Nothobranchius furzeri: one gene and its partner. The protein of the gene in region 1 purifies or fractionates together with the protein of each later gene. This does not show direct contact. Links are inferred from orthologs where the notes say so. Each region holds a gene or a part of one and is shown on either strand. Other genes may lie near its edges.

Region 1 (4,294 bases):
TTTCGTGTGGATGACAGGCCAAAACATAGAAAAATATCTACGTTTTGGCAGATCCCCGGCTACGAGTGGACAGGGCCTAAATCCCAGTTGCAGCTTTAGTCCCATCAGTGGTGAGAGCAGTCAGGACGTACCACAGGGGTTGTCGGGACAAAGCTCCTTGCAGAAATCCCAGAAGTGGAACAGATCTTCTGGCATTTGTAAACCGTACAGCCGGGTCAACTCATCCCGCTGCTCTGGATTCCTTTCTGACAGCAGCACAGGTGTGGACTCATCAGTCCGGACCCTCTTCACCTCTCCATTGGCTGAATCCGACCCCTAATGAATCAGAGGAAGAAAAGAAAAATTACAAGTTTTAGTTTGTGGACCCAGGTTACACCATTGTCACTCCTGTCTCAGCCTGTTGCTGCTCTCTGATTATTAATTATATTAAAGTTTAACACCCTCCTGTTTCCTATGGCCTCCATAGTCACGGTTTGTTTTATTACACAGGTGCACCAGTGGGCGTCCTGCGTCCCCAACACCTAAGGTGTTTTATGCAGGTTGAACATTATTATAGTAGCTGAACAGAGGTAGCCGTGAGACCATCTAAAGCTCAGCTTTTATGGATAAAACACACATGCACAAGTTATCCTGCAGGGCACGCGACAGGTGACCCATCTCAAACGCTCCAGATGCGAACGCACGTGTCAGAAATGCGAAGCGGACACGATTAGACTGGAAACACAGTTTAGCAGAGAAGCAGCTGCTGCCATGTTGTCTGGAAGCGCCGCCGCTCACTCAGCTCCAGCGGTTCAGCCCGATGGTCTCACACAGATGTACCCGGAAAACAGCGACACCAGACAGAAGTCTGCGTTTGCCCCGGAGAGCCCGACTTCTCACCTGACACGTTCAGCGCAGGAAGCTTATCGGAGGAGGAGAAATTACCTGAATAGCTTTGGGTTTTCTTTTTGCGCGCCCTGTCATTTTCTTCCTCTCGTCTCGTCTTCTTCTTCTGCAGATTGAAGACAGTGGTAGAGGGTTCACCGTGACGTCGTGCGTCAGTGCCCCCGTGAGGCGTGGCGGTGTAAACATCATCAATTTTACACCTAAAGACACACACACACACACACACACACACACACACACACACACACACACACACAAATATATATATATATATATATATATATATATATATATATATATATATATATATATATAAATATAAGAAAATAAAAATAAAAAACAATAACAGTTAGTTTTAATAATTAAAATCATCCAATGAAAGGGAAAATACACATTTCTATGAATTAAGTTTTAAGTTGACTCAGCTGTTTAATTTAGACAATAAAAAAATGAATGCAGTCTCATTTTAAAGCGTGGCTGGCCCCACCACGCTCCATTCTCATTAAATGTCTCCCTCTGCTGGTCGCCCCCCCACCCTTCACCACCTGCAGTGGGTGGAGCCACCAGTGACAGCTGTGCTGTGATAGGCTTCTCCTAGAGGAGGCTGCCATGACACACGGTGGATGCTGCACAGAACAACATCCTCAGCATCAGCAATCCAGCGCTCCTGCATCCTCCTCCTCACTGTCCCTCTCTCTCTCTTTTCCTCCTCCTTTTTGCCTCTCCTCCTCGTACCACCACCCTTGCTGTCTCTTTTCTCCTGCTCGTTCTCCCTTCCCTTCGGCGGACACACACTCACACACGTCGAGGCCCTGCTTGAGCACACTGCAGCAGAGGGACGTGTACGAACACCAGCAGCAGGATCAGCAGCAGCGGGTGGACTGGTAGGTGAGCTGTGGCCTGAACCCCCCCCCTCCCCTTCTTCCTGCAGCACAAGCAAGACAGCGCGTTCTCCTCTGATCTCTGTCAAGGACTATCTATCTGAGAAGTGTGTGTGTTTGTGTGTGAGGGAGACAGAGGGCTGGGAGGACTACCACACCCTGGGATCATTTACAACCTCCGGCACAGCAGAATGAATGTTTGATGTTTTTATATAATCTTTGCTCCATCCTTCTCTTCTCGCTGAATGCATGCAGTTCCCCTCGGATGGATCTGTTTTCTGTGTCTGCTTGTGATGTTTGGTTTCCTGTTTTAATTCCACAGTACATGAATTCATTCAAGCACATGTTAGCAAGAGCACTGAACATGCAACCATTTAGGAAGTTAACTAACTACATCTTTCATGTTTTCCTTTCCAAAACCCTCTTCAACATCAGGCCATCCACCCCTCTCCTCCACCTTCTCGATTCAATCCTGTTTATCTCTTTCCTCCCTCTTCCTTACACAACTTCTACTCCTCCCAGCTGGTCGCTTTTCCCAGGATGCCTTGCCTCAGGCCACTACGGTAGGCCCCAGCAGCATGGGCGGAGCCTGGGTGGGACGAGATATCAAAGATTGGACCCTTCCTCTTAGGACGGGTGTGGTGGCGGGTCACCTACCTTCAGCTTCAGATGGGCGAGGACGCTGAAAACCCCAAAATCAACCACACCTTCCTGCGAGACTACGTCACTGAAGGTGAGTTGGGTTCACCTCTAGGGTCGGATTAGAGTGACTGAAAAAGGAAACTTGGTTTTATTTTTTATTCTGACAAACTCTGATCTTATTTTGCATCTTTAAATTCTCAGGCTGAAGATAGAAATGTGGTTAGGAGCTTTAGAAATAAGATAATGTTTTTAGTGATTCTAAATTTTATTGATATTTTATCACAGGTTCACTGTTTTTTATGGATCTTATTTATGCTTTCTTTTGAATTGTATTTACTAAGACACCGTCCGGCCCCCCAAAAAGTCAACATCAAAAGAAAAGGTTCACACACTAATATTTCATTGGACCACCTTTAGCTTTGATTACAGCACACATTCGCTGTGGCATTGTTTCAAAAAACTTCTGCAACGTCACCAGATTTATTTCCTTCCAGTGCTGCATTCATGTTTCACCAAGATCTTGCATTGATGATGGTTGAGTCTGACCGCTGCACAAAGCCTTCTCCAGCACATCCTAAAGATTCTCATTGGGGTTAAGGTCTGGACTCTGTGGTGGCCGATCCATGTGTGAAAATGACGTCTCATGCTCCCTGAACGACTCTTTCACTATCTGAGCCTGATGACTCCTGGCATTGTCCTCTTGGAACATGCACGTGTCATCAGGGAAGATGGAATAACCTGGTCATTCAGTATATTCAGGTAGTCAGCTGACGTCATTCTTGGAGCACATCCTGCTGCTGAACCTAGACCTGACCAACTGCAGCAACCCCAGATCATAATACTGCCCCCACAGGCTTGTACAGTAGGCATGATGGGTACATCACTTCATCTGCCTCTCTTCTTACCCTGATGCACCATCATTCTGGAACAGGGTCCATCTGGACTCATCAGACCACATGACCTTCTTCCATTACTCCATAGTCCAATCTTTATGCTCACTAGCAAATTGAATCCTTTTCCCCAGGTTTACCTCACTGATTAGTGGTTTTCTTACAGCTATACAGCTGTTTATTCCCAGTCCCCTGAGTTCCCTTTGCATTGTGTGTGGAACAGGGGCAGACTGAAAAACATCCGAGGCTTTAGTCCTAGTAGCCAGCCCTAACCCCACCCCTTGTGTGGAAATGCTCTTAGTTTCACTGTTAAGCATAGCCCTGACTTCTACTGTTGATTTAACCAAACGGGAAAGCACCGCAGATCACGTTCATTCTAGATTTTTCCCCCCAGCTACATTTCTTCCTCGAAGACGATGGGTCTCCACTATTCTTTCAGTCTTTAAAAATGCGTTGGACAGTTCTTTAACCCAGTTTGGGTCATTTCTACAATCTCCTTAGATGCTTTCTCTGCTCGATGCATGCCAACAACCCTGACCCTTCTCAAACAGACTAACATCTTTTCCATGACCACCACATGTGCCTTTCCACATGGTTGTTTAAGAAATGAGAAGCAACTCATTTCACCAGCTGGGGTTAAATAACTTGTCATTAGCTGAAAGATAATCGCCCATGCAATTTTCCAATAGGGGGCTCTTACCTCAGGCAGCAGTAGCTCACAAGGCTCTCTCTAACCTTAACCCTACCCTAACCCTAGACGTGTCCACCATCACCTCTCTGAGTTGCCCAGTAATTGGAGGGTTGCAGGTTGGATCCCAGCTCCCACCAGAGAATGCTGCTGTTGTGTTATTGGGCAAGGCATTCAACACGCCTTGCCTGCTGGTGATGGTCAGAGGGACTGATGGCGCCAGTGTTTGGCAGGCCTCGCCTCTGTCAGCGTGCCCCAGCGCAGCTGTGGCTACACAGCTCATCATCACCAGGGTGTGAATGTGTGAA
Region 2 (3,331 bases), on another chromosome or scaffold:
TTTCTTAGTTTAGCAGCGATTATAAAATTTACACAGAAACGAGCTTCGAAAACATCCCCAAAGTCCTTATTTTTTGAGTACATGTATCGTTTCTGCTCTTTTTGAACATCACCTGATTTCTCCGTAAGCTGAAACGACCCGAGGGTTTCCAGCAGGTGTTGATGGACGAGTTTGGCTCAGAACCTGATACGTTGGACTTAATTAAAGCTCGTCTTCATGACTACGGCAGCGTCAAAGATCCCTTTCTAATGTTCCATTTCGTGCTGACGGCATCATGAGCCATGACACCGACGTGAACTCGTAGACGTAGATATGTCTACGGTTTGACTAGGATGAGGAACCCAGACAGATCCACTTTATCTCCTGTCGCCTCATCCATTCAAAGATGGGTCCTGTGTGTTTGTGTTCCACTTTCATCCAGACACCTAGAATATTCTTCTCTGGCTTAGTGCCTCTGTTTGCTTTAGAGATTTGTGGCTCAGTGTGGCCCCCGAAGCCTCCTGCCGCACGCCGGTCGGGACACGTGGAGTTTGGATGCAATGTAGGTCAACGTTGTGCAACGCTGCAGCGCCATCCTGGCCCGTCTGGGTTTCTATCCCATCAGCTGGCCACCAGCCAAGGAACACACTCGTTCTCTGGTTTGTGAAGGGATCCACGGTCACACAGCTCACAAAAATACTCAGCAAACGGCCAAATTCCGGGTGATTTACCATGAAGGTAAAACAATCGGAAACATAAAAGCAGTCACAGCTGGAGGTTACCAATCAAGCCAACTGGTGGTAAATCCTGTCTTATTTTAATGGTGACTTCCTCTGGCTCTGGCTGTAGGCCACATGCTGAGTCATGCTCTGCAGCAGCCAGTCAGGCCCCTCTGATGATTTATGGGTAAAAATAAAATGCTTTAATAATCCAGAATCACATTTATTTTTCTGAATTTAACACGTTAATCTAATTTGTCTGATCCGATGTGAATTAACATCAAAGTGAACCAAAACTTTTATGCAAATCCACTAAAATTTATTCTGCACTTGCCTTTTAATCTTCGGAGGATCACATTTATGGATTTTTAGAAACGTTGCCGTGCAGCCAGAGCTGCCCGTCCGGGCACCACAGGGTCGCCCCACAGGAAGCTAGTCGCTGCATCAAAATGCTATCAGCCCCGCTCCGTGTGCAGCATCCTGATGAGACGTGATGGAGGCCGTTGTAAGCGCTAGCAGGAAGTGGGCTGTGCCTGAATGAAGACAAAAAGAAAATGGTGGCCTTTGCCTGGCTTGTGCAAGTTTTAATTCTCTAATCAACTTTCCTTCTGCAGGCAAAGGAGATCCTGACCAAAGAGTCCAACGTCCAGGAGGTGAGATGTCCAGTGACCGTGTGTGGCGACGTGCACGGCCAGTTCCACGACCTCATGGAGCTGTTCAAGATCGGTGGGAAATCGCCGGACACAAACTACCTGTTCATGGGGGACTATGTGGACCGAGGGTACTACTCTGTAGAAACCGTCACATTACTTGTAGCTCTTAAGGTGACTTTGTCAGACATTTAAAACAGTTTTTTTTTCCTCTTTGGGGTGAAAAACGCGACGTAAACAGATGTTTGTGTTTCAGGTTCGCTTCCGGGAGCGCATCACGATCCTCAGAGGGAACCACGAGAGCAGACAGATCACACAAGTCTACGGCTTCTACGACGAGTGCTTAAGGAAATACGGAAACGCAAACGTTTGGAAATACTTCACAGACTTGTTCGATTACCTCCCCCTCACTGCGCTGGTAGACTCTCAGGTGAGAGGAGCGTAATAAAAAAGACCGAACTTGACGTTTCTTTGAAAAGCATCATAATTTGTTATAATTATCGATTTTTTTTCCTCAGATTTTCTGCCTCCACGGGGGCTTATCACCGTCTATAGACACGCTGGATCACATCAGAGCTCTGGATCGTTTACAGGAAGTGCCGCACGAGGTAAAGAAAGACGTTAAATGTGGTGCAGATCAGCAACGAAACAATAAAGATAAAAACGTTTGTGACCATTCTCGTTGTCACGCAGGGTCCCATGTGCGACCTGCTGTGGTCAGACCCCGACGACCGCGGCGGCTGGGGCATCTCTCCCCGAGGAGCTGGCTACACATTTGGTCAGGACATCTCTGAAACGTTCAACCACGCCAACCGCCTCACGCTGGTGTCCCGCGCCCATCAGCTGGTCATGGAGGTTTGTCTTTGTGTCCAAAGATGATTAAAAACAAAGAAGCAGTGCCGCTAAGTTCAGATGCGTGTTAATATTACATCTGCTTACCTCAGGGCTACAACTGGTGCCATGAGAGGAACGTGGTGACCATTTTTAGTGCTCCTAACTACTGCTATCGCTGTGGAAACCAGGCAGCCATCATGGAGCTAGACGACACCCTCAAATACTCTTTGTAAGCAGGCGAATTTCATCACGAGTGGACAAAGAAATCTTAGAATAAGTTGTGATTTTTTTTCTTCCTGATGTTCCTCCTCAGCTTGCAGTTTGATCCAGCGCCTCGCAGAGGAGAGCCCCATGTAACTCGCCGCACCCCAGACTACTTCTTGTAAACCTGCAGTCTCGACCCGCGCACGGTCCGGTCCGGTCCTGTCCAGAACCACCAACCTATCTGACTTTGAACTGAAAACAACGTGATGGAGGCCTGAGAGGCTGCAGTGTTGCACGTTGTGTTTATCCAATCTAGTTAAAGCATTTCGCAAAAGCAAATGTGTCTATAAACGGACCAAAAGGTGTGTGCCATGATCACTTAAATATTTATTGTATCTGAAATGACAAAATAGAACATCCTGGATGTCTCGGCTCCTCCTCCTGTACATATGGAGCTGGGTTGACGGCACCAAAGTCCAAGACTAATTTGCTACTGCAGACCATGGTTTTTGAGATTTGAATGTGATTTGTTTGCACTTTTGTACAGTTAAAGAAATGTTAAATATGTCAAAAAGATTAATACGATTTCACGATATTGATAGTTTTTTTGTTGTTTATTTTTAAATTGCATGTAAACCTTCAGTTTTTTTTGACCTGTGTATGTTTTAGGAAAATCCCTTCTCATGCAGTCAGATGGCTTGGTTTATAGAAAAGATGGAGTGTTCATCAACTCACCTGCTTCCTTTTAGCTTCAGACTCTATAATAACCTACTAGAATAATAAAGATGACTTCTTGAATTGTGTTTTTGGTTATTCTTCATTCTTGTAAAAAGTCTAGTTATATTTGGATTTCTCTGGCCAGTTGTAATTACACTGACACAGCAAGGCGAAGACATAAAAAATACATTTATTTAAATGTGAATTTAAATTATTGTGCTCCATAAT

What was found. Proteins that work in one complex are often made in the same cells at the same time.
Region 2: the proteins of ppp2r2ca (region 1) and ppp2cab purify together in Homo sapiens (affinity purification with mass spectrometry; 6 studies listed by BioGRID and IntAct, counting the BioPlex papers as one, with this or other methods). This does not show direct contact. The link is inferred for Nothobranchius furzeri from reciprocal best matches to the Homo sapiens genes PPP2R2C and PPP2CA.

What each region holds. Positions count from the first base shown.
Region 1 is NC_091747.1:78,433,733-78,438,026, reverse strand, and holds the start of ppp2r2ca (protein phosphatase 2, regulatory subunit B, gamma a), read left to right. Parts: upstream 1-1,484; 5' UTR 1,485-1,773; intron 1,774-2,201; exon of another isoform or gene 2,202-2,288; 5' UTR 2,289-2,435; coding exon 2,436-2,499; intron 2,500-4,294. Other genes in the region: hpf1 (histone PARylation factor 1), read right to left, coding at 132-315, 925-1,074. UniProt on the Homo sapiens protein: The B regulatory subunit might modulate substrate selectivity and catalytic activity, and might also direct the localization of the catalytic enzyme to a particular subcellular compartment.
Region 2 is NC_091750.1:60,013,462-60,016,792, reverse strand, and holds the end of ppp2cab (serine/threonine-protein phosphatase 2A catalytic subunit alpha isoform), read left to right. Parts: intron 1-1,312; coding exon 1,313-1,522; intron 1,523-1,604; coding exon 1,605-1,778; intron 1,779-1,866; coding exon 1,867-1,956; intron 1,957-2,041; coding exon 2,042-2,203; intron 2,204-2,292; coding exon 2,293-2,411; intron 2,412-2,495; coding exon 2,496-2,568; 3' UTR 2,569-2,795; downstream 2,796-3,331. UniProt on the Homo sapiens protein: Catalytic subunit of protein phosphatase 2A (PP2A), a serine/threonine phosphatase involved in the regulation of a wide variety of enzymes, signal transduction pathways, and cellular events.